7 linked regions of the Coturnix japonica genome follow. The protein of the gene in region 4 interacts with the protein of the main gene of each other region in a pairwise test. Links are inferred from orthologs where the notes say so. Each region holds a gene or a part of one and is shown on either strand. Other genes may lie near its edges.

Region 1 (4,198 bases), on a different chromosome or scaffold from region 4:
GCAGAACCTTGGGCTCACAGCCCCTAAAGCAGCACTTAATTCAGCTGTCCATCTCCTATGCTTTCCGACATTCAGAATACTGCAGGTCACCCAGCACAGCCTCCAGCTGACAGTATGCAAGCTCTATGGAGACTGTCCAGCCCCATGTATGTGGCCTGGATATCTCACAGCATCCTAAATAACACTAGTTGTTTATACAAACAAATTCTGTCCTGTTGTTTTGTGATGTTTTTTCACAGACGTGACATTGAGTTGATTCTCAGGAAAACCACAAGCTGTCAGAAAGGTCAGAAAGCAGCAAGTGAAAGGTTGTCTTCCTTCGGAGGTGCTCCTCCTGCCTGGAGACATTAGTCAGAGCACTGTGATCAATGGCACAGAGCCTAGTTGTAGGCCTGTAACTAGTGGTATTCTCCACAAGTCAGTGCTGGGTCCAAGCTTGTACAACAGTTGTCAGCAATCTGGATGAATGGATAGTCTACCCTCAGAAAGTATAATGATGTAGAGCTGGGGGGAGTGGATGACACACTAGAAGGCTGTGCTGCCATTCAACCAGAGCTGGACAGGCTGCAGAGTTGGGCAGAGGAACCTGATGGGGTTCAACATGAGCAAGTGAATAGTCTTGCACCTAGGGAGGAATAACTGCATGCACCAGTACAGGACAGGATATGACCTGCTGGAAAGGAGCTCTGCAAAGAAGGACCTGGGTGTCCTGATGGACAATGTGCTGGCCTGGTGAGGGCACATCTGGAGTGCTGTGTTCAGTTGTGGGCTCCTCCATTCAAGAAAGACAGGGAGCTATTAGAGAGAGTCTAGTGGAGAGCAACAAAGATAACTGGTGCCTGGAGCATCTCCCTTATGAGAAAAGGTTGAGACTTGGGGTGTTTCACTCTGGAGAAGGTTCTGAGGGTGTCTCATCACTGTTCACCCGAAGTCCAGGAGTCAGGTCAGTGGAGGTAGAGTCTTTTTGGTGGCATGCAGCAATAGAAATAGACCCGGGCTGGAAGGGACCTCAAGGATCATGTAGTTCCAACCCCTCTGCCTGGCAGGGCCACCAAACATACACATTTACTAGATCAGGTTGCCCAGGGCCCCGTCCAACCTGGTCTTGAACACCTCCAAGGACGGGGCATCCACAACCTCCCTGGGCAGCCTGTTCCAGGGCCTGACCACTCTCCTAGTGAAGAACTTCCCCCTAACATCCAACCTAAATCTTCCCTCTTTTAACTTAAAACCATTTCCCCGTGGGTCCTTTCCAACCCCAACGATTCTATGACTATGCTCTGAGAGAGAACGCAGACATTGCGAACACAGCCCCGCACAGCCATCACTGCCCAGCTTCCACAGCCTCCGCCCGCTCCACATGCTCCACCTCCCGCTCCTCCTCGCTCCGCCGCCGCGCAGGCCGCCATCGCGCACGGCCAGGAAGCGGAAGCTGCTGTGGAAGCTGCGGCGGCTCCTCTGGGCTGCTCGCGGGGCTGGAGGCTGTTTCCTGGGGGTCCCACCCGGCCCGGCCCGGTCTGCGGGTGAGGCGGGGAGAGGGCGGGGAGCCGTGCCCCCGCCGGACTCTGTTGGGGTGCCGCTGGTGTCGACATTGGGAACGCTGTCGTAGTTCGTAGGGGTGAGGCTGCCGAGGGCCGGTGGCGGGGCTGCGGGCCTTTATGTAAAGGGGTGTTTTTGTGTCGTTGCAGGCTGCTGGCGAGGAGCCTTCCTGCCGGCGAACGAGGCACCCGCCGCTGCGCTCCTTGTTGTGGGTGCGTTTGTTGTTCGGAGCGGGCTGAGGTCGCTCCCGTTCCTTCCTCCCCGGAGCCGGGGGAGCTCGCCGGCTTCGTGTGTGCCCGAGATTGCCGTCAGCTCCTTTTCTTCTGAGGCCTTGCTGAGTTTTAATTATTTGTAGGTTCTGGTGGTTGTAAAGTAATTTAAGATGTTTGTGCTGCTCGGTTTTAACTCGGTAATTGACTCTTGTCTTAAGAGACGTTGGTTGGGAATGGTTAAATGTCCAAAGAATGTTTACGGATAAGGGCTGTTTTATTTGACTACTGTGAGCCTGCAACTTTAAACTTGCATCTTTATTTATTTTTTTCTTATCCTGTGCTTTTTCTGTGTTATGGCTGCTGCAACGATAGTTCATGATACATCAGAAGCCGTAGAGCTCTGTGCTCCCTGTGGGTTATACCTTAAACCCATTACAAAAATGACCATCAGTGTGGCACTTCCTCAGCTGAAACAACCCGGAAAGTCCATCTCGAACTGGGAAGTGATGGAAAGACTGAAAGGGATGGTACAAACCCATCAGTTTTCCACTCTGCGGATTTCCAAAAGCACGATGGATTTCATCCGGTTCGAAGGAGAGGTTGAAAACAAAAGTTTAGTCAAGTCTTTTCTTGCGTGCCTTGATGGAAAAACGATCAAACTGAGTGGCTTCTCCGACATCTTAAAAGTCCGTGCCGCAGAATACAAGATTGACTTTCCTACCAGGCACGACTGGGACTCGTTTTTCCGTGATGCAAAAGATATGAATGAAACTTTGCCAGGAGAAAGGCCGGATACCATTCATCTAGAAGGCTTACCTTGTAAGTGGTTTGCAGCAAAGGACTCTGGCTCAGAAAAGCCAAGTGAAGAAGTCCTGACAAAAGTTTTCCAGAAATTTGGAGAAATACGTAACGTGGACATACCCATGTTGGACCCTTACAGAGAAGAAATGACTGGCAGAAACTTTCACACATTCAGCTTCGGAGGCCATTTAAATTTTGAGGCTTACGTTCAGTATCGGGAGTATGCAGGCTTCATTAAAGCCATGAATGCCCTGCGAGGAATGAAACTGATGTTTAAAGGCGATGATGGCAAGGCTGTGGCTTGCAATATAAAGGTGAGAAGTTGTTGTCACTGATAAATGTGAATTCCGTAGTCCCCTGTATTCCATACAGTTGTTTACTGTAGTGCTGAGAACAGCTGATGTTACTGTAGGGTTTGAGGAACCAGCTGTAATGCAGTTTTAAAAGGGAAGTGATAGAATAAACATGTTGTTAGACTGTAAACAAAGCGGGGTGAGGCTTTTATCTCTCTTTTTTCCCCCCCTAAGCAAAACATTTACTGATGTAAAAACAGCTAAGGAACTACCAGATATTGTGAACATAACTTGTTAACTGAATTTTAGAAAGTAATGTATATTTTCAAGTCTTGTGATTTAGTTTATAAAATAATCTGTAGCAAGTTCAGACTCGCTAAGGCTGAATTGAAAGTGCATTTTCTTTTATGTATAGTAACAATTAGGAATTCTGGGAAGAGTGACAGCCGTTATATTTGATACCTCTGCTGATAAGGAGATCTATCTGTCAAGTGTCGGAACTGTGAGGCAATGCTATGTGGCCTGGATGGCCTGTGGAATAGAGAGTTAATAGTGATTAGTGTACTTTGTGAACAGAAAGGCCATTCAAACATTGAAACAATACTTAGCTTATTCCATACGTTTTCTGTGAATCCAGTGTGTTGTATTCATAATATTTACATACCGACTTCTCCAAATTGCTTTCTCTGTTACTTCATTGTCGTAGGAAGTAAAGTTATTGATGGGAGATGATGTGGAACAAGTCGGTCTCTCCAGATGTTATATCTGTGCAAGTATGGCTTAAGGAAAGCTTGTTGTGATATATTTGGGGACTTGTCTGTGTATTTACATAATGGTTGAATTGCTTATTTATTTCAGCACGCTTAATTTTCATTCATCAAGTCAGCAAGTAGATTTCGGGAAAAAGCTGAAGTATTTATGTAATTTGGGAGCATTCAAATATTAATTGATTAAGTTGTAAGTTAGACACTTATTATCTTGTTATTAAAGTTGGTCAGCTGAAGCACAGACATTGCTGTTCGTATGCCCTCCTATTCTCAAGGGGATGTGAAATTCAAACTGTCACTTGCATGCAGTGGATTGAGGTTCCCAAATTTAGTTTCTCTGTGCAAGAGAACGCATGCCTTCCTAGCAGCTGCCCTGGGATTGATAGCAAGAGAGAAGGCTGTGTCTGTGCTGTCAAGACAGATCGCTTTCATGCAAGGTCACCAGACTGCCCAACTCTGTTTCTACAGGGCTTTTATTGAAGCATTACTTTTATGTTGTCTGAACAAATTAAACTGCACAGTATGTATGCCTTGTTCTGTGCTCCATGGTTCGTGTCTTCCAAAGTACAGTGGCTTGTGTTACAGA
Region 2 (4,135 bases), on a different chromosome or scaffold from region 4:
ATGAGCAGGACTCCACACCCACCTCACTGCATTACCCTGCCAGAACCCCACTCCTACATCTAGTCTGAGCAACCGCAACAAGTTCCCATTCATGCTACAAGATCAGCAGATAGTCCCTGTTGTGCTGAAGGGCTTCTATCTCTGCTCAGTCACCTTCGTAAGACCCCACTCTGGACTGAGGAGGGGAAGAAGGGAATAGAACTTTTCATCACACTGCTAGTTGTTTTAAAGCAGCTTGAGATTATGATATTGGATTTAGGAGAATTAGTTTATTCTACACTGCTTAATTACAAGAGCTGGAACTCTTAGTCCTGTAGCTCTGTGACCTGCTGGTTCCACAAGCCAGGCTGCGGAAGGTGCTATTTCAGCAGGATCACTTAGCAGCAGCATTCTTCTTCAATCACTCCAGCTGACTTTGCTCGCTTTGTTTTGGCCTTTGATTTCTTCTTCTTGTTGGGAATTTTGCTGCTTATAATGAAACAGCTTTTGTCCTGAGAACAAAAAAAAACAGCATTCTCAAGTCTGGTTTGGAGACACTTGAAGTACCAATTTATTACTAACTTCCTTTAGGAAGTTTTATGGACGCTTCAGAGAACTGCCCAATTTCCGCACATCCCAACATAATTCCAAAGAGCTCAGACTTCTCTCAAACCAATTTCCTCTTGTACTACACACCAAAACCACACAAACTGGTTAATTCCAGATCCAAGCTCAAGAATTAAGTACTCAAAGCATCATCTGTTACTTATTTAACACCTCAAAAGAGAAAACAGGTTATAGTTTTCAAATTATGGATGTTTACTCACCACTACTCTGACATCAAAGTCTTCTGGATTATCAGAGCCCAAGCAGTTATCATCGTCATTGCTGAAAGGCAGGAAATTCAAATCAAATCTGTACTTCTACAGTAGCGCAGCATAAACAAGCTGTTCTCCTAATGCAGCACCACTTCCTCATAATGCATATGGAAACGCTACAGCTTACAGGTCTGGGATGCTCCCACTTCTACATGAGGCTACACTGAGAGCCTGTGGAACAAGATCCTTATCTAAAGCCATGAGCTGTTACTTATTTTCTCTCTCTGCTCTTTTAAGGATGAGGAGAGAGCACACAACACAGCAGTGCTAAGCCAACAGAATCCATTACTGAGTTACAGAAAAATCCAAGAGGTATTTCACCAATTAATATAATGCACGTGCCAGACAATAAAGACAGCAATGCTGAACACACAGACTTTAAGTTGAGAACAAAACAGCAACTTTTATACTACTGAAAATGAACTTACTTTGTCTCCTGGATAGGAGAAATGGGGCCTTTGTCATCTAAATATTTATGTTTCCGCGCTGTCAGACATTCCCTTTCTAAGTCTTCATTTGCTTCAAGGGATTTCAAAGCCTTTTTGAGGTGTTCTTCAGCTTTAAGCATTTCAACATACTGGAAATATCCCTTCGCAGCTGCTTGCTGCAAAAAAAAGGAATAGATCTTAAATACAAACAAAGAAATGAACCATTTATATAATCAACCAGACTGTAACATTAAATGACAGCCTTAGGTCAGCTGGTTCTCTCCCACAAAACACAGGGCTCACCTCATAGCTAAGAACCATATTTACGGGAATATGTTTCCTCCCATAATGTTTTTCAACAAAAGGGAACTGAAAGCCTGGATCCCGAAGCCTTCTCCTTCGCTCCTGAGGCGGGGCTGTCATGGGCCGATTCCCACCACGCTTCTTTGGGGGTTCCGAGCGTCTCTTTGTCTTCCGTGAAACACCGCTCCTGTATCTTCGGTGCGCAGCAGTTTTAAACTTCCTTCCTCTGAAGTGATAGGCAAAAATGGCTTTCAAATCGAGCTTGGATTTCCTCCTTTGGGAGGGTTCAGGTGGCCTCACCGGGCTCTCAGGGAGCAAAGAGTCAGGACTTTCACCATCAGACACTCGTGCATCAGCTCCTGCTTGTTTCCTTGAAGGCTGCGATCTCCTCTTTTGCTCCGCAGAGGGAGCAGTGCATTTCCTAGAGCGTTTGCTGCCCCGAGCAGCTGAAACATCACTGAAAAAGAAACGTGTACATTCAACAGAGCACATACGTTTATGAGTCTTGTTCGTAAGTGATTCTAAGGAACCAGGTAACTCACATTTCTGAATCGCTGCTATCCACCTCAGATGAAGATGTATTTGTACTACTAGTCTCATCTGAAGACTCCTCAGGAGTGGCGTCCTTCTGCCTCGAGCACAAACGTCTCTTCCTTGCATTCACTGCACGCTCAGGTATTTTAGATCTTTTTCGCCTCTGAGTGGATACGAGACTCTGAGCATCAGGATCATCAGAACAAGAGGTGTGGGATTCATCTGTATCACTCATGTTTTAATCTGCCCTGAAAGAAATTAAATATGTTTTACCCCAGGCAAAGCTTTTCACATCCAAGGAACGTATGTGTCTCCCTCACAGTAGCCCCCTCCCGCCCACCATCCCGGGGCGGACATTTTGCGCGGTTCCCGCCGCTCTACCACAGCCCCGGGCCGCCATGAGGAGCCCATTTCCCACATCCCACCCGCCCCAGGGCCTTCCTTGCGCTCCGTCTAGGAATCGCTCAGCGACAGGATGTGCTTTGATTCTACCCCAGCCTCACAGCGGGTCCTCACACGGCGGATGGCAGCGGATTCAGCGCACCGCCATCACCAACCCAACACTCACCTCACGCTTCACCTCCGGAAAGGGCGCGCAATGGCCGCCCCCGAGCTTAAATAGCGCTCGGCTCTCGCGAGAGCAGGACGGGGCGGGGAGTGCCGTGAGGGGGGCGGGGATGGGCGGCCGCAGGTTGTGGGCATTGGCTGCGGTTCCCGCTCGCTGTGGGTCTCCAGAGGGTGGCTCCTGCAGGTTTGGCTCCGGGACTCTTTTTAGACTCTTTTTACCCTCGTTTACGTGGCCTGAATTTCCCTTCTCGCTTCTCTGCTGAGTTCATCTGCACGTTGGCGCTGTCCCTGTTGGCTCTGTGGCTCTGGCTGTGCTTCCTTCTCCCCCCAGCCCCCCGCTATGAAGCGTTTCTATCCAGCCATTAACTTCTCCTTTCCGTTTTCTGCCCTTTCCTGCTTGGAAAAGAAAAGCCGCAGTGTCTCGACGTGTCGGTTGTTTCCTGCCATCCCGTTTGCAGCGTTCCTGTGACAGCTTCCTTCACAGAAGGGAGAATCGCCCATAGAAGCGGACGAGCCCCCAGCTAAGATGGAAATCACTCTACATAGACAGCTTGCTTTCTTGCTCTATTGCTTGTTACAGGCAGAACTTGAGGTAGCTGAACTTTGAGCTCAAAGTCTCGCTTTTTCTTCCATGAAAGGTTCCTATTTTGTTACGTGCAGCAGGCGTGTGCCTAAGGAGTTAATGATTTCTGGGGCTGGTTTATAGGTAGCATGTAACCAGCTGCTTGTGCCTGGAGCTGCTGGTTTGCCCTCGTAGCAGGTTATGCTGTTGCATGACTGAAATATAGCTCGTTTCAAAAGAAGCTCCAACATTTCTGTTCTGAACAAAGCTTGCTGTGAAAGGCTCTGAGCTGATATAGAGTCCAGTGCTGTACAACTTGCTGCTGCTTTGGTGCCTTTGTTTGGCTTTGAGATGCACTACAACCTTCTTCCACTTTGGAAACACGTGCCTATAAGAAACTGGGAGCCAAGGTTGAAAGTCCATCATAGCCAATGCTGGAAAAGTAAACATTAAGGTAGTGAAGACCGGGTAAGGCAGTTATTGTGCTTAGAAAAGCGTGGCTTTGGGTTTACAAAGGACAGATAACTGACCTGTCCCTTGAATTAGGTTCAGCGTATTACATATTTTGTCTGTACTGAGATGGAAGTTTGAGGACTAACAGATGTAATGCTCTGAAGCAGCTGCAGAGCTGGTAGGCACACCTGCTTCCAAAGCACATAGAATCATAAAATCACCAAGGTTAGAAAAGACCTGAAAGATTATTCAGTACAACCATCCACATATTACTAATAGCTGCCACTAAACCACTAATAGCTGCCACTAAACCATGAGAAAACACTAATCTTGAAGCTGTCAGTTTTTCCCTCAATGGTATAATAACAATTCTACTGTTATCTATGTATTCTCGGGTGAATTTGACAGATAAATTGCATATTGAAAGCAGT
Region 3 (4,210 bases), on a different chromosome or scaffold from region 4:
TTTCCTGCAAGATGGGCACAGTGTCTCCTATAGGATATGATTGTGGTGTCACTTACACCACAGCGTAGTGTGTACACACACTGGCGTAGTGTATCCCTATGGGGGATGGCTGTGGTGTCACCAGGGGGTTGCTGGGCTTTATGTCCCTGTTATATGAGGACTTAGTGTGCTTTGGGCCTGCTGTCACCTATAGGACACAGGCTTTGTGGCCCCAGTGGGGTTACAGCCCCGTGGTCACTGGTGGGATGTGGGCGCAGTGTCCCCTGTGCTGTGTGTGCTGCTGTCAGCTGCGGGCCGTGGGTTTGGTGCCACCCGTGGGCTGTTTGCGGTGCCCCCTGTGCCCTATAAGGGCTGGGTGTCACCCATAGGACCCGGCTGTGCCACCAGCTTCATTCACAGGCCTGGTGCACCCCGCGCTGGGACACGGGCCTGGCTCCGGCTGCGGGACGCGGCGCTGCGTGCGGGACGCGGGGCTGGAGCTCCCGGCCATGCGGGACCCGGCGTCATCCCGGTGCGGGGCCCAGCTGTCACCGCACACCGGGGCCGGCCGCAGCCCTGCGGGACACTCGGCGCACACAGCCCGGTGCCGCTGCTCCCTCCGCACCGCGCCCCGCACAGGGCGGCACCACCGCGACCCCCCGCACCCGCTGCCCCGCGCTGCCCCGCGCCCCCCGCCCGGCTCCGGGCCGCCCCTCGTTGTGTGAAGGCCGGGACCCCCCGGGCCGAGGTTCGCGTTGTCCCGTGTCGCGGGGCGGGTTGCGGTGCGGGGCGGGTGCTGCGTGTTGGGCTCCGGGCGGGGGCGCCCTCGGGGGTCCCGGCCCCGCAGCGGGGGGCGAGTGGCGGCCCCGCATCAATCACCGCCCGGCCCCGCCCCCTCGGCGCTGATTGACGCGGCGCGGACCAATGGGACGGGCGCATGCCCCGCTGTCGGCCAATGGGGACGGGGGAGGGCGGAAGGTCCCCACTTCAAGGCTGGTTGAGCGGCGCAGGTAGGTGCGGGCGAGGCGCTGCCGGTGCGGGACGGCCGGGTCGGGATGGGGGGGGGTCGGGGTCGGAGGTGATGCGGGACACGGGGGGTGCGCGGGGGGTCCGGCCTCGTCCCGCCTCGTCCCGCCTCGTCCCGCAACTTGGGCTGCGTGTTGCGGGCCGCGGCTGGGAGGGAGAACGTGGAACGGGGGGGGGGGGCGGGACAGGAGGGGCCGTAGGGCGCGGGGTGGGCTCAGCGCTGCGGGGGGGGTCGGTGCGGGGCGGGGGGTCCGTCCGACAGGGCCTGAATTGCGGCCACGGGGAGCGAGGGCACATCCCGGGCCTGGGGGGGGCGGACGGATGGACGGCGGGGCGTGAAGGAGGCCCGGGGCTGCGACGGTCCCCCCGCATCGCATCGCATCGCATCGCAACAGCTCGGGCCCCGCTGCGCCCTCGGGACGGGCCTGGGCTGCGGGGTCGGTGCGGGGCCAACGGTCCCTTCCGCTGAGCGCGGCCGCTTCTCCCCGCAGCTCCCGGATCATCTCCCGGCTCCTCCCGGCCGCGCTTCGTCGGTAACTTGAAGAGCGGTGACCGCCCGGACCATGGGCCCCGCCGACATGGGCTGCCAGGTACGGCTCAATCCGCGCGGGGTCGGGGGGACGCTCAGGGCCGACAGCGGAACCTGCCCCAACGCCGTGTGCCCCAATGCCGGCTGCCCCCAATGCCGGCTGTGCCGTCCGGGCTCCGGGCCGCTTCCCGTCGGGGCTCGACACGGCCGCCATCCCCATCCCGGCTCCTTATGGAGCGCCGTGATTCGGAGCCGGAGGTGCCGGGCTGGGTCCGGCCCGTGTGGGCGGCGCTGGCAGCGCGTGGGTGATTCCCGGTGTCACCTCCGTGTTGGGGCAGCACCCGGGGCTGTGGGGCCAGGAAAAGGCCGATCCGTGCCGCTTCCTCGTGCCCTGCATCCTCACATCACCTGCATCCTCACATCACCACCTGCTCACTCACATCACCTGCTCACACCGCCGGCTCCTCGTTGGGTTTACACCGCTTGGCTCCTCCTGCCTCCATCCTGCTGTGTGTTGCTGATACCCGCAGCTCTGTGTGCCCCCGTTGGGCGGCTCTGGTGGGTTTGGTTTCCTGAATGTAGAGAAGTTCTTTTGCTGTGGGTGAAGCAGAAATCATTTCTCTGTCCTTTCACGCTGATATTAGACAAACCTGCTGTGGTATCTGAGCTCCATTGGCTGACACAACACTGGAGGCTCTTAGTGCGTGTGTATAAAGTAACTGTGGGTTGTTGTGTGGGCCTTGGGAATAAAGAAGCCTGTAAGTTTAGGAGGTTATGGCTGAACTTCTCCCAGGTTCCTGTGGCTCCTGTTCATAGGAAGCCAGCAAGGGGCTCGTCTGGGATCAGTCCTCGCTTCTACAGTGAGCTGTTGGCCAAGCAGGGCTCAGCACGTGGCTGCATGGAGTTTGATGGCGATGCTGTGTGCCCCGTGAGCTGTGTGTGTTAGTCACAGCATAGATCTGAGTAGCAAAGCATTGGGGCTGCTCCCCCCAGCAGGGCAGGTGGGGAATGGGGTGCAGGAGGGTGACTGCAGTGCCAGAGGAGCTGGAGAAACATCTCTGTGCTGATGGCTGAGGCTGCTCAGTGCTTCTGCTTGGAGGCACTGCAGAGGGTCTGGTTGACCTTCATTTCTTTGAGCTTTCTGTTCCTGTGTCAGCAGCGTTGAGCCTTTGACCAGTGAGTGTTCAACCACTTCTATGTCCTGTGCTCCTGGTGTGTGCTCAGTCTCAGGCACCTAATCCTGCTGTTGAAGTCTGCGGGTCTTCTTCATCAGAGAAGAAAGCTCCATTGTAGCTTGTAAGTTTTCACACAGCTCTTTACCTGCAGCTCCAGAGAGAGGAAGGGGGGGTTTCTGGGTGCACAATGCTGTGTCTGCTTGCTCCTTCACCTCTCGCAATGGTGGGAGAGCTGCAAACCCTGCCCTGCTGTGTTCCCCTCGCTGCCAGCAGCTGAGCCTTGCTATGGGAAACATCCTCAATAAGGAGAGCACGGAGGGGTCTGACTCTTCCTGCTGGTGATATCTGACATTTCCCTGCATGGCTGAGGGTTTGAAGGCAGGTGGATTGGGCTCAGGCTTGTGAAGCACCCAGGGCTCAAAGACCTGTTGGTGCAAGGCAATTCCATGGAGGGATCCTGGGAGCCCTAAATGTGGGTTGGGGGTTTTCTTGCTCAGGATAAAGGGATGTACATGAAGAACTTCAAGTGGAAGGGAGAGGGGCTGAGCTGCTTCCTCCTGTCCCAGTCCTTTGTGCAGCACACACTGTGTTTGCTGGGAATTGAGGTTCCAAACTCACCCTTTCTAGTTCTTCTGATTGATTTTCGTACATGAAAACTCCCAGATGGATTTGTCTGTAGCACAGCAATGCTGGATGTCACTCCTCAGTGGGAACACAAAGATGAGTACTGAGATGTGCAAGCATTGTCCCCAAACTCACCCTGCATCTCCTGGCTTTATGAGGTGTGGGCTCCTCGTGGTTAATGCAAGATCACTTTTCCCTTGATATAAAGCATTCACAATGGATGGGCAGCAGCTTCTATGAAGCACAGTCACTTTACTGAAAGATAAGACAAATAACATCATGATATAATTCAGTCTCTGAGGCAGTATATTGTACATTGCACAAAGCATTGTGGTTTCCATAACTTGCAACCTACTGCTTTAGCAGGAGGGTTGGACCTGGTGATCTCTAGATGTCCCTTCCAGCCCCCCATGCCCTTAATTTCTGCCATCATAGCGTTTCCTAAGCAAACATCCAAGAAAAGTGATGGGACCTGAGGTTTCTCTTGCACCTCTTGTGCAGTTTGACGTCTGTGTTTTGAGTGGATCTAAGCCAGCACGATGATACTGTTGGCAATGGAATGGGGATGTAAGTGATAAGGGGTTACAACTAGAGGTGTAAGTGGATGCTTTGCCATCTGTGAGCCCATAAAAGCTGGCTGGCTGGTCCCCAGATGAACTAAGTACTGAAATTTGGGGCTCTTTTTTGGGAGTACTCAGCGTGCTGTTCATCTTTGGAAACTACTTCATCGTGTTCCTTAAATGGGTAAAAACAGAGCTTCCCATCAGGGCTTTAGGTTAGGATTTCTGTGCAGAACACGTGGGGCTGCTGCTGTATCTTGGCAGGATGAAACCAAGGTCTTCGTCAGGGACTTAGTGGTGAGGTTAGTTACCTTCAC
Region 4 (3,375 bases):
AAAACAAAGCTTCCAAAAGAATATTGTTTTCATAAGAGTATTTTTGGCTTGCTGGATATCTCTCTTGAGATTTAAGAATATTCAAAATGCCTCAATTTAATAAGGGAAGTTACACCTGTTTTAATTTGTGGACTAGTTTTAAGAACATCTCGTGGTTAAAAGAAGCAACAACTTAGTAAAGTTACCCTTTCTGCTTCCTGCAGAACAGCCAGACACCATCCTTACCAACACTGTATGCAATAGTCTCTCACTTCCAGAAGCTGTTTGATGTGAATTCTCTGAATGGCATTTACCCACGAATGAATGAGGTGTACACAAAACTTGGGGAACTGACCAATGCTATGAGAAATCTCCATGAGCTCCTGGAACTAGGTAAAGACTCATCACCTACCACTTGTTCAGGCTATTTCCAAAGGAAAAGCTTTGTTTTATGAGCACTTACTTACTAATTCTCCTTTATCAATTGAAACATAAGGTTTTTTGTTTGTTTTAAATTGTTTTGGAATAACAAACTTTGCTCTAGATTTCTTCTCAGTAACTCATTCCAGGGTAAGCATGTTCAGTCCTTAAGAACACCCCTTTACAATCCTAAATGTTTACTTGTTCTTTTAAGTATTGAATGTCAAGAACTAAGTGCCACCAGTAGTCACTTCCAGGTGCCTATTCATTCTCTTCTGGTTTTGCACTTCTGAAGAACAGCAGCTGCTAATCTTCCCTGAGTTCATGGGTTTAGAGGCTTGGCTGTGCTGCAGGGTGTACAGCCAGAGGGCAAGGCTCCTAAACTACTGAAGCCTTCTGAAGTCTCATTCAAAGAGGGAAGCAGACTTCCTGCCTGCCACCACCAACAGGAAATGAAGAAGCTTCTCATCCCCTTGTAATTACAAAGCAATGGAGTTCAGTGGACACCTTCTCACAATTAGTTCATCTGAAACTGAGTGAGGAAAGGAAAAGAACCTGGTATTTTTACCTTTCATCATAGTAGCCAAAGCAGGTTAAAACAAGCAAACAGAGCAAGTTCTTGCTACTAACAAAATATCAGGAAACAGTTCCCTCTATGATACATGAAAGTTCAATAGAATCTGGGCACCTGCAAGAACTGAATTATGTCTTCTTTTCCTGTTATTACTCTTACCAGAAACATGAAGTTGTGTTTTCCAGATAGTTCAGCTCCACCCACCATGGTGGTGGATACAGTTGGGAAACTGTGTGACATAATTAACGAGAATGTGACTGAACAACTACGGCGGCTCCTGGGGACACAAGACATCCACAGGTATTTAGTTCTGTTCCACTGGCAACAGTTCTGCAAACAGAAATCTTATGAACTGACAGAGTTGCCTAAAATTGATACTGGAGGAGACTTCTGTCCTTTGCTACAGTGCTGTGACAGTAAAGGATTTACTACTATCCTACATGGAACAAGTCTTGAACACTTTCTAAAGGGTATTTCTGGTAAATAGAAAAAAATAAGGTTCCCTTAGCACTACCTTGTTGATTTGCATGGATACAGTGATCAAAAAAGCCTCTTAAGCTTATGTTTCATAAGGAGACATAGCAAGTGCTGTATGTTGGTGGGGATGCGAAACTACTTCAAGGTTGCGACTGTAATATTGAAATGTATTAGCTGCTGAGAGAACGTACACCTCAAGCTTCCTGAAAATCTTTCGAGAGCTGGACAAATCATCAACAAATGAGAACACAGAGGTGGTAGCAAGTTGTAAGAGCTTGCATTCAGAATGTGCTGTACAAGTGTACAAAGAGATTAACTGCAGCAGTAAATTTGTAACAGGCAAAGTGAACAACGGTGACACCATCAACCTTTCAGTGCTCCATGCAGTTTTAACTATAGACAAGCTGCTTATAATGTTCTTGCCTCCACCTCTAGCTCTTATACTACCTGGGTTGCTGATATATTTAGCATATACAGGCTGCTGCTCCAGACCAAAAATTACACAGCACTGTATAAGGAGGAAAATATATTGGGCAGAAACAGTGAAATCAAAAATAATCTGACTTTTAACAATTGTTGGCTTCAGGTTTCAGTACATGAGGATGCGTTTTTGGTGCAGGTGTATTTGTATATACTAAGTAACAGTAGTTTCAGAAAGCAGTGACACTGTATGGCAAAAAAGCCAAGAAAACGAACTTAATATGTTCTTATAGTTTTGCAGTAACGGTCTTACTTTCAAATCTCAGTATCATCAATAAGCTAGAAGAACATGAATGCTTCTTTCCACCGTTTCAAGCCCTCATTCAAGATTTGCTCTCTCTTCTAGGTGAGTAACATTTCCATGCTGTAATTATCTCCATGGCAGAGCTCCCTCCCAGGCTGTTAAATAGCTAACACACTTTGTTTACTCCTGGTGTGCAAAAAAACACAAGGAAATTGTGAGAAAAGGTGCTAAGCCTTACCTTGCTCTGCTAAGAAAGCTACTGAAATAATGAAGTTTTCATTGAAAAATGGGGTCATTTACATTCAACCATAAAACTTATAAGCTAAAATAACGTTTTTCTTCCCCCAAAAGCATGAAGAGGTTTGAGGAGTTTATTCTCTGCAGTAGTTTTTTTGCTCACTGGCCGTATTTCTAACACTTAAGCTAGAATTATGATTGAACTTTAAAGTGTTTTATATACAACTCATACAATTCTGCTTTTCATTCTGTTTCAGAGATCAATAACCTGGATGATATTTTACCTACTGTACGAAAGCTGAAATTGGTAGCTAGTTAAGGGATAGTTTGATCTATCCTGGGAAGACTTAACCTGTGAGGCAGCCTTGTTGGTTCACATGTCATTACAGCTACCTCTAACCTCTGTTACTAATGAACAGTTTCAGACTTTTTAATATAAATAAAAGTTTGGCTTTGCCACTTCATTCTTTTAGTTTCTCTGCATTCTTACACTGACCACGAAACAAGAAAAATAACCACAATAACCTGTTCTGTCCTGGAGAGAGGACCAATACATACCGTACTGATATAGGAAACTGAAGCCAACACAAAAGCAAAGACCACAAAGGCACTTACCTTTCTGAATGTAGCTCATCAGCAGGTATGAGATGACGTTGCTCAGAGTGCCCTATAGATGTAATACTTTCATCATTACCTTGGTCGTCTTGAGAGCCTATTTTAAAATGCTGTTTAGATCTTCAGCTAGGTTTATTTTTTTTTTGGTTATGGATTGAAACACACCACATTAATGTAATCTAGGCTGAACACATTTTAAGCCTACATCAGAACATGGTTTACAGCTTTTTGCCTAGAAGGGATTTGAAGTTACCACGCTTATATTCTACCATCACTTTTAGAAGGGCATAGATAAAGTTCCTTAAGCAAGACATGTCAGAGTTTATTGTAAACAAACAAGTACACCAAG
Region 5 (4,153 bases), on a different chromosome or scaffold from region 4:
GCATTCGTGTCTTTACTCACCCTGCCTGCCAGACCTGACAGGCACCTCAGATCCCCTCAGTCACTTCAGCAGCACGCTGCTGTTGAGGGCCAGCTCTGGTCCTGTGTGCTTGGCCAGCCCTTACTTGGGTACCACTAGGGAAAACTCCCCCAAAACAGCCACGTGGTCCACGCAGCCCCAGGCCTGGCAGCAGAACTCACCATGAAGAAGGCGCCACGGTGGTAGTACTTCTGCAGGAACTTGTATTTGCCCTTCACTGCCTTGTTGGTGATGACTTTGCCGTTGGCTCGCAGCTCGGCACGGCGCTCCTCCTCTGTCAGGTTCCTCATCCGCTCGATCTCTGCCTTCTCTTTCTCCATGCTGGGCAAAAGAGAAACCCTGAGCCCCTGCATCCCTCAGTGCCCTCCCAAGATGGGACAGCTGCTGCCACCCGGGACTTTCTGACGAATACGTTGACTGACTCCATAATGGAGTAAAGCACCTCAAGAAAATTCCTGATGCTGCCAAAACAAAGACTGAGAAAGAGACGCCTCAACTGCCCGCTGTCCTGCAGGGCCTGGGACTGCAGGGACCCTCCCCTGCCTTAAGCAGACAGTACTTACGCTTCTCGTTCTTCACGATCCCGTTTGATGCGCTTCAGCTCACGTACTTTCCAAGCCTCGTACTCCTCCTCATCATTCTCATCGTCTGTATCGAGAGCATCAAGTGCTGCCAACGAGCGCTTATTCTCTTCCAGCTCCTTCTTTGCCTCCTCTTCCACGATCTGAAGCCAAGACCAAGCTCAGCTCACTGCAATGGCTGCCCCAACATGCATGCCCCAGTCTGCCCCGCTGTACCTTGAGTGTGTACTTGCGCCTCTCTTCTGCTAATCTCTTTGCCTCCTGTTCTAGCTCCTTCTGCTTCAAGGCTTCTGCTTCTCGCTCCTGAACTGTGATCCGGTCCTTCCTGTGAGCAGGGACCACAAAAGCCTTCAGCCTTTCAACATGCCACTGCAGACCTCTGCTCCCACTGCAGCCTCTTTTAGTCTTTATGCCCCCCACGGCAGGGCCAAGTCCCAAGGCTCTCTCCTTTCTGATTTTGCTCATTCAAGAGCGACCATACTCAGTCTCCTCACATCTGCAGACATGCACAAAGGTGATGGGAGACCCTGCTACTGGCTGTGGAACATGTTGGAGCACACTACCTGGTTTCTGTTGTGCTGTACCTGCCTAAAGTCCCCAGTTGGAAGTACCCAGCCATGCCCTACCAGGTCAGTCACTGCCCATCCCTGATGCAGTGCTTGGCCCATGCAGCTGTATCACCTTATCACCTACTTGCGGATGAAGACAGGTTTGAGACGTGGCTCCATTTCATCCTCGCTGTCTGTGTACTCCTCGTACTCAGACTCTGACTCAGACTCTTCTCCAGATCTGCCCTCATCTTCCAGCTCCATCACTTCCAGCTCCTCAGTTTTTCTCTCCTGCGCTCTCTGACGCATCATCCCACGCCGACGCTCGATCTCCTAATGGAGACACATCAAACACAGACTCAGCCAACCAGCCCCACTATCGCTTCCTTCCTTTTTCCATATAAAAAGCATGATGTTGAGCTTATATGATATGATGTTGACTGCTTATATAAGCCCACACCTCAGAACGCAGGTGACCTCCCTGGTGCCCCATAACCCACAGGCTGTGGTCACACCACAGCTGGCTTTAACTCAGGTCCCAACATCCACCCAGTCTCACCACAGTTCACGTGTGTCTGCAAGCACGAATTCCAGACAGGGCCTAAGGGGACTTTCCCAGGCCACATCTGCTCAGCAATATAACGAACCTCATCATCGATCTCTTCCTCTTCCTCTTCACTGGTGTCCTCTCTCTCCACACGCCACGCTTCACCTTCTACCTCAGAATCACTCTCTCCGACCACTTCAGGCTCCACAATTTTGCGGTGTCTTGCCAGCCTGCAACAAATGTCCACTCGACTACGAAGCTCTGAACACAAGGAGACTAAAGAAGAGAAATCTTTGCGATCTGTTTCTAATGAGACCGTAGTCAGACCCGGGACCACGAAGCGTGTGAAGGAAAGAGGCATCCCCTGCGTGCTCAGGAGCCCGGAAACACAAAGCTGGGGGGGAGCACGAGGAGGGAGCAGAGCCCGGAGCCGAGCACTCACCGCTCCTCCACGTCCTCAGTGATGCGGTTCTGCAGCCGCCGCAGCCGCGGGTCGTTGGCGACCTCCTCCTCCTGCTCCTCGGGCTCCACCTCCTGCTCCTTCGCCTTCTTGATGAACTGGAACTCCTCGTCCTCCTCCTCCGAGGATTCCATGGGCGCGTAGTCGGGCCGCTTCCCCGACACGTACCGCTTCACCTTCACCTTCTCCATAGACAGCTCGCCTGCGGGAGGGGGGGGAACAGCAGCGGGAGGAACAGCAGCGGGAAGCCATGAGCAGCCGGGCCATGAGCAGGGCGCCATGGGCAGCCGGGCCATGAACAGCCGTGAGCAGCCATGGGCAGCCATGGGCAGCCGGGCCATGAGCAGGGCGCCATGGGCAGCCATGTGCATTCATGCCATGAACATTCACGCCGCCGCCGTGCCCGCGCCCCCCGCCCCTCCCGGCGCCCCGCACTCACCCTTCTCATTGCGGACGGGCACGGCGCCCGCCGTGGACTGGATGGGCGGCTGCTTCACGAGAGCGCTGGGGGCCGACATGGCGGCGGGACGGGACGGGACGAACCGCAGCCGCTCACAGCACCGACCGACCGACAGACCGACAGACCGACCGCTCACCCGGAACTGCAACTCCCGCTTCCGCCGGCGTACCGGAAGTGAACGCGCGCCGAACCGTCGCAAGCCGCCGGAAGTGACGCTCAGCGTGGAGGTCATTTCCGGCTCCTGTGGCCGGATGTGGAGCTGGTTTCGGCCCGGTCCGGTCGCGGTGCAGCGGCGGTTCCCCTCAGGGCTCGGTTCCCCTCAGGGCTCAGATCGGCCCCGCTGTGATCTCTCCGCTCATCGCTTCGGGGCTCGGGAGTGGTGACGTGCTGCGGAGCCGGCCGCACGTAGCCCCGGCCCGCGCCGGGTCCCTGCCCGGGATTCCCGGGGCCGGCTGCCGAGTCCTGCCCCTGCTGCTCGTGTGGCTGCGGCTGGAGGCTGCGCTCAGTGTCGGTGCTGAATACCGGGTTACCATCGGTGCTGAATACCGGGTTACCATCGGTGCTGAATACCGGGTTACATCGGTGCTGAATACGGGTTACCACGGTGCTGAAACGGGTTGCCCATCGGTGCTTGGAATGCCCGGGTTACCATCGTGCTGAATGCGCGGCGTACCTCGGTGCTGAATTTACCGGTTACCATCGCTCTGCAGGGCTCTCCCCGGGCTGTCCCCCGCCCTCTGGCTGCCAGGACTTTCCCGCAGCACCGGCCCAGGGCAGAGGGAATTACCCGCAGGAGCAGCCCCTACATGGAAGCGGGCAGGTTTCCTGCCCCAGCTGTTGCTGCTCACGTCAGAGCCCTTCACACACCAGTTGGGTTTCGCAGGAAAGCAGCCCAGCGCCAACTCGTAGCAGCTGCCCACGCGGTAGCAGCCAACCACAGGAGATAAGATTTCTCTTGAAGCCAGGAAAAACTGGGTCACCAGCCACCACAACCGCGTCTGCAGCGCTGCGGTGCCTCCCCAAAAGAAGGGAAGAGGTTTTATCTTCCGGGAAATCAGCACGGGGGTGCCAGGCAGTGAGACCTGCTCCTGGGGACTGACCTCAGCATTCCCTTGTGCTGGCAGGGTGGGTCCCCTGGGCACAACAGCTCCTGGGTAAGCCTGACCCTGCTGGTGCTGTGGCAGGAGAAGAGCTGCCACTGAGCAGGCCCAGGCAGAGCTTTTGGCCGCTCCAGGGTCCCTGTGATTCTGCTGTGCGTGCAGCCAGACCCCAGTGCTGCAGTTGTCCCGCTGCCTCGGGCACTGGTGGCTTTGTGCTCCTGCAGCAGCAGTGCTTGGGGGTAGGCAAGTCCTTCCTGGTGTTCCTGGCCTTGATGTCCCGATGACAATTAGAGCTCTGTGCCCAGCTCCTGCTCCGCTCCCAGTCATCAGCTGAGATATCAATTTTGTGTGGTTATCACAGCGTGTTCCTACCTAATGGTTCCCGTGTCACCATGGCAAGGAGCGAGCTTCAATGTAT
Region 6 (3,500 bases), on a different chromosome or scaffold from region 4:
GTTCAGTGCTGTGCTGATGCAGTGGGGGTTAATGACAAGTGGTTGTTTCTAATGCCCTGCAAGCCTGTTAGAAAGCAGACTGGGAATGGATGCAATTATGGAAACTAATGTTGAATTGGGATTGAGCTCTGAGTGCAGACATCCTGCATGATACCCCCCAGTAAGTGGGTCAAATCCAGCTTTATTTAAAAGAGAAAAGCTGTCCCAGTAATTCCACCCAAGGAAAATCTGTTGGGATACTCAAGCATTCCTTTGCATACAGACACAGCCCAGCAGCTCTCCATCCTGCTACTAGGGTGCCTTTGTGGGATGGCACAAAAACTGCTGTTTCTGCATGGCATTCAGGTCACAGCTGGTTCAGCACATTATTGCCATTCCTAAAGAGGGGTCGTGATGAAGTCATGATGCAATAGCCTAATGTCTAAAAAAAAAAAAAATAGGACATCTACTGCCTTTCTAACCTGTAGATGACCTTCTTTATAGCTGTAGAGTGTGTATCAAGTTCCTGTAATAAATATGAACAGGTGTGTGGGCTTGTTAAGATATTTTTCTTTTACGAAGACTGCTTTTTTTCATGGTTATCATGTGATTTTTTTAGTGTTGTTCCTCCCACCCTCTCCAATAAAGCAGACTTTTTCTTGTTGGATTGGGGTGATTTGATGTCAGTGATATGTACAGCTGAAAGAAAGCAGCTATCAGTGTTCTACCACAGCAAGTAATAGAGTTTAACAGGTGGCTGAGAACAGCAGGGATCCCCTGGAAGATGGGATCCTGGGGACAGCGAGGTATGAAGCCCTGAAGGACCATAACTCACCTAATTAAAACGTCTGTGAGACCTCCACGTGCCACTCCACGTGCTTCACCTTTTGTTATGAAGAGAAAAAGAAATTCCCTTAAAATATGCAGCCTCAGCAGCAAATGTGCCCAGCTGTGGTTTTGGTGTGGAAAAGTGTGCATCAGAGCTGTTCTACCTCCTCCCTCACCAGGGAGTGAGCAAAACTATGATGCAAAAGCCGTATTAATTACTTGTCCAGGGAAGGGAGGGATTGTTTTCCTGCAGGGCAGAGGCAAAATGCACTGATGGGGCCCTTTTTTGGCTGGATCAGCGCTTTGGATGTGCTTTAATAGCAATGATGTTTCCTTCCTCCCACCTTCCCTCTAGTCGAGTTTACAGCTGATATGTGGTTTTGGGGGTGGGCTTTTGGAGTTTGTAAACGTTGAGGGGAAGAAAATGAAGGCTGTGCCTTAAATTAAAGGCTGAGAGGGGAAGATCATAATAAATTCTGAGCAACAACCTTTTTAGACTTGACTTGCCCTGACCTAACAAATCTATGCAAAATGCAAAGAACAACTCAGCCTTTAGTGAAGTTTGCAATTCCTCTCCGTTCTTGGTTTCAAAAAGCCACCATAAATCTCAGTGCAGTTTCCTAAGCTGTTCAGTTCCCTTCCCTGGAGAAGCTGCCATGAATGGCACGTTGGTTAAAAATGCACACAGTGTTTGCTCAGCATTATGGGGCTGTAGGGTTTTTTTTTGTGTATTTTTCTTCTTGCTGGGTAAGTAAATCAGCAGTGGAAACTCTTTCCTTGTTCAAATACTGGGGTGCAGTGAAGATAAAGGTGTTGCCAGTGAACCAATTCTTTTTAAATAACTCAGAAATCTTTGTTCAACATTAAGCAAACAGCTGATAATTCCACTTTGTGTGCTCTTATAGAGATCAATGCCCAGCATGAAAATACCAAAGCCTTTACCAGCATATGTTTGCTCCTTGTGCTACTGATACACAATTGCTTGCTCTTAAAAATGGCCTCTCTGAGAGGTTCTGTGCTGCAAAAAGCACTTGCAGGATGCAGAATGAAGCGGTCCAGGGTTAAAAATGTTCATTCTAAATCTGAGAGCAAGCAAAACTGTCTTGGAGGTGCAGAGGAGGAGACTAAAGAGCCATCATCTTGAAAGAAAATCAGCATAGCTCGTCAGGTCAGAGCAAAGGCCCTGATGGATGATGCCAATAATAAACAAAAGCAATGTGTTCTGCAAAATCTGGGGCTGAACAGAGCTCATACACATGGTGTTTTTACTGCATCCCAGTGGGGCTTGGTGTGATTTAGGGTAAGCAGCCAGAGAGTCCCTTTCAGAGAGTCAACAATTGCTCGCCATTGGCTTTGCTTGGCTGCTGGGTTATCTCTCCCTGCTTTAGTTTGGAGCAGATAAGGAGGGTATAATCAGCCTGGGAGTTTGCTTTGCTGAGAGCAGGCAGCTTGCTGCAGCTGAAATCAATCCTTGGTGTTTACATCTCTTGACATGCATGAGGGGGAAGGGAGGGGAGAGTGCTGCTAATGGGTGAGCATGGCAAACCTGGCTCTTGCAGAATGGTTATTTGCACACACAGGGAAGTTCTGTTTTAAGTGGAGGTCTAAGCATGAAACAAAGCTTTTGTTTGGTGTGGGCAGACACCTGAGTGCTTATAACCAAAGCCAAAGATGTGCTGGAGATGGGAGCGTGGATGAAGCTCATGAGCAATACTTCTTGAGAGTCATATACGTTGCTCTAGGTTTATTTAGTTGCTGTTCTTCAACTCAACCAGGCTTTTACAGGGAGATTTGATCCATGCAGTGTTATCTTGCAGAGCCACCAGTAACCACAAGGTCAAGGAAACGGTTGCGTTGGAACTGAGTTACGTGAACTCCAACCTGCAGCTGCTGAAGGAGGAGCTGGAAGAGCTGAATAGCTGCATGGATGTCTACCAGAATGACAGGTAGTAGGTTTTGCTTGGGGGTTGGCTGGAGAATAGAAGACCGGGGCATGGGATAGATTGGCTCTCCTTGTCCTGAGCATCCTTCTAGAGCATGATGGTTTCCAGTGGGATATTTAAGTAATTAAAACTGTACCCAGTCTCTTGTTCTAGCTGATCTTCGGCTGGTTTCTTTTCCTATCCAAGGGTATTAGGTTTTTCCCCCTCTTTCTGAGGTTAGACCTTTTGCTAATTGAGAAGTTCTGTCGCTTTGAAATGCACACCCAGTCACCTCACGCTTCACTCATTAAAGCCATTTCAAGGAGGTGAGAAAAGCAGAAATCACAAAGGCAGAAAAGGCCAGGGATGCTGCAGCAACCTGGAGCTACAGAAGTTAGTCCAAAACATCTGGATGGTGTCCATAAATCCATGTGCTTTGCTCATTGTCTTGTCCTCCTTTGAGGAGGTTGTTCTGCTTCTGGGGGCACAAAGTGCTGCAGGCAGCATCACTGACTCCCTTCTGTTTGCTGCACTGCTGCTAAGTGCAGAGCAAGGACAATCTGGATGTGTGAGTGTTGCATTAGGGTTGCAGAGAGAAGAGGAGGGTTGAGGAGGCTCCACCTGTGGTCATCAATAACCTTCACTACCCTGGATGTTTTCCCTCTTTCCCAACAGCGGGATGGTGATGGGAGATTGCAGTTTGGACTCCCAGGATTGCAGGCATCCTCCCTGAGCTATGCCCAAGTGTTTGTTTTGGTTCAAAAAGGAAAC
Region 7 (3,946 bases), on a different chromosome or scaffold from region 4:
GCACACACACAGCTTCCAATTCCTCTCTTTTTAAGCTAAAAACAGACATTCCATTTGACTCCTCCATGTTTCCCTTCCAGCATCCTATAGATCCTAAGAGCAACAAGTAGCAATGAAAGCAACTTGCATGACTAAAGGTGACACAAAGCACCGGGATTATAGGATTAAACCGCGATTATTCGATAATCCCTAAAGATAAATTAAATACAAACAGATCACACGTTTAACCAAACGCCCTCATTCTCAGCAGGGCTGAGGGAAAATCGCATCCCTGTTGCAAGCTGAGCTGGGAGAGAAACACAAGGGCAAATGTTCATACACACACATAGAAATGATGAGGAGATAAAGGTTAACCAACAGCAAAGGCCCATCTGTATAAGGGAGGGAAGGAGGGAGTAGGCCCAGAGCGCCTCAGGCCTACAGGGCCCACACCTCAGAGGCCTACAGGGCTCAGGCCTGCAGGGCCCACCTCAGGCCTGCAGGGCCCACACCGCAGAGGCCTACGGGGCCCACCTGAGGCCTACACAGCCAACCTCAGAGGCCTGCGGGGCCCACACCGCAGAGGCCTATAGGGCCCACCTCGGGCCTACGGGGCCCGCACCTCAGAGGCCTACGGGGCCCACCTCGGGCCTACAGGGCCCACCCCGCAGAGGCCTACATACAGGGCCCACACCACAGAGGCCTACAGGGCCCAACCTCAGAGGCCTACAGGGCTCAGGCCTACACGGCCCACCTCAGGCCTACACGGCCCGCCCAGCCCCGCCCGCCACAGCGAGGAGCCGCGGCCTAGTGCAAGACCGCACGCAGGGCAGACGGCAGCACCCCTTGACGAGGAGGGCCGTCCGGCCGCCGCTCCCCGCCTCCGCCGTAAAATGAACGGGGACTCACCGCCTTTCTCCTCCACCCAATCAATCACTCCATCACCCCGACGGCGCGTTTCTGCCCGGCCCCAACATGGCGCCACGCGGAGTGTCTGTGAACACCCGTTAGACTTCACTCCCTCACTCAACATGGCCGCCGCCGCAAGCCCCGATTCCCGCCGAGTTGGGGGGGGGGGGAGCCCAAAACCAAGATGGCCGCCCCAACTTCACTCTTAGACAGCCAAAAACAAAGATGGCGGCTCCCGCTGGCGTGAGGCTCGCGCGGCGTCACGTGACAAGGGGGGTGTGGGCCGCGTCCCGGCGGAAGCGTGAGGGACCGAGCGGGGAGTCGGGCTGGCGGCGGAACAGACGGGCCGTAGGGCGGGCGATACGGCCGGCACCACGGAGCCCGCCGGCACCAACACGGCGGCCAACGCCGCTTCACGAACCGGGGGAGCCGGGGAACAAGCAGCATCGCTGCCCCCGCCCCCTCCGAGGATGCCGCGCAGGAAGGTGAGTGAGGCCGGGGAGGGAGCGGCAGGGTCAGGACGTGGCTTTCTATCTTTCCCCTCCTTTCTATTTAACTGTTATGGGGAGAAAATAGGGGGGAAATAGCGGCCTGCAGCACCCCCACATCTGCGCCCGCCCCCCTCGCTCGCTTATTGGCTGTTGCAGAGACCCGCGCAGCGCTGATTGGCCGCCCCGCTCGTCACTCATCGCCCCCAACGGTTCCCCTTTTCCTCCCCCTCCGCCTGCAGCGCGTCCCTCCTCTCGGTTTCTCCCATTGGGCAAACGGTTAAAGAGTCGGCCGCCTATTGGCTGGGTTGTCACACTGGGCTGGCCGCTGATTGGCTACCACGGTTGTCCATCACCTCTCAACGGTCACCTCCCCGCGCGTGCCTCGTTCCTCCCCTCCCCCACCCCACTCCTCTCCGGTGGGGGTTGAGCAAACCTCTCCCTGATTGGCTACCACCAGCTGTCACTCACACCCTACCGGCATGCTCCTTCTCTCATTGGCGAGCTCACCTTTCCGGTCCCACCCACTCGCTTTATGATTGGCCGAGACTATAGAGCGCAAAACAAAGCGGCCTAAGGGCGGTGTGCGCGCTCAGTGGCCGCCACTCGCTCCTCACAGGCCCGGAGCCTGAAGGCCGCTGTCGTTATACAGGCCTCGTTTGCGGCCTAAGCTGAACACAGGCCTCTGGGCCTAAACCGAACACAGGCCTCTGGGCCTAAGCTGAACACAGGCCTCGGGTCTAAGCTGAACACAGCTTCGTTGCCTACCGTGCTCCCTCCTGTTGTTTTCCAGGCCCAGGTTTGCTCTGTGTGGTGTACAACTGACTCATCCCCTGCTAGGCCCCGTCTATTCCCCCCCATTACCCCTCTGGGCCTTCAGGGTGATGATTATTAATGACACAAAAGGGTTTATATCTGCCATGAAACGCTTGGCATTTATATATTGAACACATCACAGTGTCAACTCAATGTTATCTATCATATGCTTTCTATATGGGTTTATAACATGGCACATCACAGCATACACTCAATGTTATCATATGCTTTCTGTATGGGTTTTTAATGTGGCACATCACAGCATACACTCAATATCTATCATATGCTTTCTGTATGGGTTTATAAGGTGGCACATCACAGCATACACTCAATGTTATCATATGCTTTCTGTATGGGTTTATAACGTGGTATATCACAGCATACACTCAATGTTATCCATCATATGCTTTCTGTATGGGTTTTTAATGTGGTATATAAGCACATCCCTGCTGATATCCTTGTCTATGGTGTCGTAGAGGAACGCGGGCAGCAGCTCAGATGGAACAGAAGACTCGGATTTCTCCACGGATCCGGAGCACACGGACAGCTCTGAAAGCGACGCCACGTCACGACGGTCCGCCCGTGTCACCCGCTCCTCAGCCAGGCTCAGCCAGAGCTCCCAAGGTAAAGCACCTCATAACACATCAAGCAGGAGGATTTAACCTTGGTAGTTATATTGGTAAGCAAAAGAGGGAGGTAATCATATATGTCAAGATGTGCTTTCAAGGCTTGTTTTGCTTGCCTTTACGCCCAGTTTAAAAGAAGAAGCCTATGTCCACCTCCTGATTTTTAGCTTTACAATATCAATTCCTTGATCTCTTGGTTATTAAGCTGCCTCAAGGGGAGAAAATGGCAGTAGATAAGTTTGTTCCTTCTGTGTTGTTTTGTGATGGGTTTTCTTGTAGGTAAAAAACCTACTTGCATGCCTCAAAAACAAGAAGAAAAGTGGGTTGGGTTGGTATGTGGGATGCCTGTAATGCTGCTAGGGTATGAAAGCATTGTTTTCATGCAGAATAAACTGTTTTATAACCTTATGAGCAGTGTGTCTATATAAAACCATACGTGGTGTCCCAAATGTGTCTCTATACCAGGAGCAGCTTTGATATTCTCAAGAGTTTTCTAAATGCTGATAGCTGTAATCTAAGTTAATCGCTACTACTTTCTAAATGGGAACTGTTTGTAATTCCTAATCCATTAAGTTATTATCTCAGAGAAAGTGGATGTAATACCAGATCCATGTGTGTTTGTAAAAGTGAATTAGAAGAATATAAACGTATCTCCGTGATGATGTGCAATGGTTGCACAGAATCCTGTGCTGATACCCTATCAGATGTCGGTGTTACAGACATCAGAGCTCATGTGTTGCAGCTCACGGGCATTCATTGCTTCTTGTGGGTGTAATTATGGTGTTTCTATGACATTAGATTCCAGCCCAGTTCGCAATCCGCCCTCATTTGGAGCAGAAGAACCAGTCTATTCCACGAGGAGAGTGACCCGCAGCCAGCAGCAGCCTGCTCCTGTGACTCCAAAGAAATACCCACTCCGACAGACCCGCTCGTCTGGATCAGAAACAGAACAAGTGGTTGACTTCTCTGACAGAGGTACGTAGACACAGTGAGGTGTCGAGAGCTTGTAAAATGCCATTGGAAAGGATATGTGGCTCCATTCTCTGGGCACAGTGTGATATCCTCAGGTTAGAGGGTTTGAGACAGCTATCCAGAGTTGCTTTACATATATATATATATATTTGAAAG

The links.
Region 1: the proteins of CEP70 (region 4) and AKAP17A interact in binary tests that used the Homo sapiens proteins (3 or more experiments, as listed by UniProt). The two-hybrid records come from large-scale screens. The link is inferred for Coturnix japonica from reciprocal best matches to the Homo sapiens genes CEP70 and AKAP17A.
Region 2: the proteins of CEP70 (region 4) and TAF1D interact in binary tests that used the Homo sapiens proteins (3 or more experiments, as listed by UniProt). The link is inferred for Coturnix japonica from reciprocal best matches to the Homo sapiens genes CEP70 and TAF1D.
Region 3: the proteins of CEP70 (region 4) and KANSL1 interact in binary tests that used the Homo sapiens proteins (3 or more experiments, as listed by UniProt). The two-hybrid records come from large-scale screens. The link is inferred for Coturnix japonica from reciprocal best matches to the Homo sapiens genes CEP70 and KANSL1.
Region 5: the proteins of CEP70 (region 4) and MFAP1 interact in binary tests that used the Homo sapiens proteins (3 or more experiments, as listed by UniProt). The two-hybrid records come from large-scale screens. The link is inferred for Coturnix japonica from reciprocal best matches to the Homo sapiens genes CEP70 and MFAP1.
Region 6: the proteins of CEP70 (region 4) and RHPN1 interact in binary tests that used the Homo sapiens proteins (3 or more experiments, as listed by UniProt). The two-hybrid records come from large-scale screens. The link is inferred for Coturnix japonica from reciprocal best matches to the Homo sapiens genes CEP70 and RHPN1.
Region 7: the proteins of CEP70 (region 4) and KAT7 interact in a two-hybrid assay, tested with the Homo sapiens proteins (2 studies listed by BioGRID and IntAct). The two-hybrid records come from large-scale screens. The link is inferred for Coturnix japonica from reciprocal best matches to the Homo sapiens genes CEP70 and KAT7.

The regions. Positions count from the first base shown.
Region 1 is NC_029516.1:116,242,508-116,246,705, reverse strand, and holds the start of AKAP17A (A-kinase anchor protein 17A), read left to right. Parts: upstream 1-1,398; 5' UTR 1,399-1,523; exon of another isoform or gene 1,524-1,688; 5' UTR 1,689-2,104; coding exon 2,105-2,866; intron 2,867-4,198. UniProt on the Homo sapiens protein: Splice factor regulating alternative splice site selection for certain mRNA precursors. Mediates regulation of pre-mRNA splicing in a PKA-dependent manner.
Region 2 is NC_029516.1:166,172,905-166,177,039, reverse strand, and holds the start of TAF1D (TATA box-binding protein-associated factor RNA polymerase I subunit D), read right to left. Parts: upstream 2,801-4,135; 5' UTR 2,691-2,800; intron 2,371-2,690; 5' UTR 2,358-2,370; coding exon 2,131-2,357; intron 2,046-2,130; coding exon 1,589-2,045; intron 1,462-1,588; coding exon 1,286-1,461; intron 868-1,285; coding exon 807-867; intron 492-806; coding exon 378-491; 3' UTR 1-377. UniProt on the Homo sapiens protein: Component of the transcription factor SL1/TIF-IB complex, which is involved in the assembly of the PIC (preinitiation complex) during RNA polymerase I-dependent transcription.
Region 3 is NC_029542.1:2,310,763-2,314,972, forward strand, and holds the start of KANSL1 (KAT8 regulatory NSL complex subunit 1), read left to right. Parts: upstream 1-1,410; 5' UTR 1,411-1,595; intron 1,596-4,210. UniProt on the Homo sapiens protein: Non-catalytic component of the NSL histone acetyltransferase complex, a multiprotein complex that mediates histone H4 acetylation at 'Lys-5'- and 'Lys-8' (H4K5ac and H4K8ac) at transcription start sites and promotes transcription initiation.
Region 4 is NC_029522.1:18,779,387-18,782,761, reverse strand, and holds the end of CEP70 (centrosomal protein of 70 kDa), read left to right. Parts: intron 1-203; coding exon 204-372; intron 373-1,158; coding exon 1,159-1,273; intron 1,274-2,163; coding exon 2,164-2,276; intron 2,277-2,668; coding exon 2,669-2,730; 3' UTR 2,731-2,875; downstream 2,876-3,375.
Region 5 is NC_029525.1:18,263,637-18,267,789, reverse strand, and holds the start of MFAP1 (microfibrillar-associated protein 1), read right to left. Parts: upstream 2,801-4,153; 5' UTR 2,694-2,800; coding exon 2,615-2,693; intron 2,378-2,614; coding exon 2,158-2,377; intron 1,946-2,157; coding exon 1,816-1,945; intron 1,502-1,815; coding exon 1,314-1,501; intron 946-1,313; coding exon 837-945; intron 764-836; coding exon 603-763; intron 361-602; coding exon 201-360; intron 1-200. UniProt on the Homo sapiens protein: Involved in pre-mRNA splicing as a component of the spliceosome.
Region 6 is NC_029517.1:133,709,870-133,713,369, forward strand, and holds part of RHPN1 (rhophilin-1), read left to right. Parts: intron 1-2,624; coding exon 2,625-2,753; intron 2,754-3,500. UniProt on the Homo sapiens protein: Has no enzymatic activity. May serve as a target for Rho, and interact with some cytoskeletal component upon Rho binding or relay a Rho signal to other molecules.
Region 7 is NC_029542.1:2,708,597-2,712,542, reverse strand, and holds the start of KAT7 (histone acetyltransferase KAT7), read left to right. Parts: upstream 1-1,146; 5' UTR 1,147-1,358; coding exon 1,359-1,373; intron 1,374-2,668; coding exon 2,669-2,816; intron 2,817-3,616; coding exon 3,617-3,793; intron 3,794-3,946. UniProt on the Homo sapiens protein: Catalytic subunit of histone acetyltransferase HBO1 complexes, which specifically mediate acetylation of histone H3 at 'Lys-14' (H3K14ac), thereby regulating various processes, such as gene transcription, protein ubiquitination, immune regulation, stem cell pluripotent and self-renewal maintenance and embryonic development.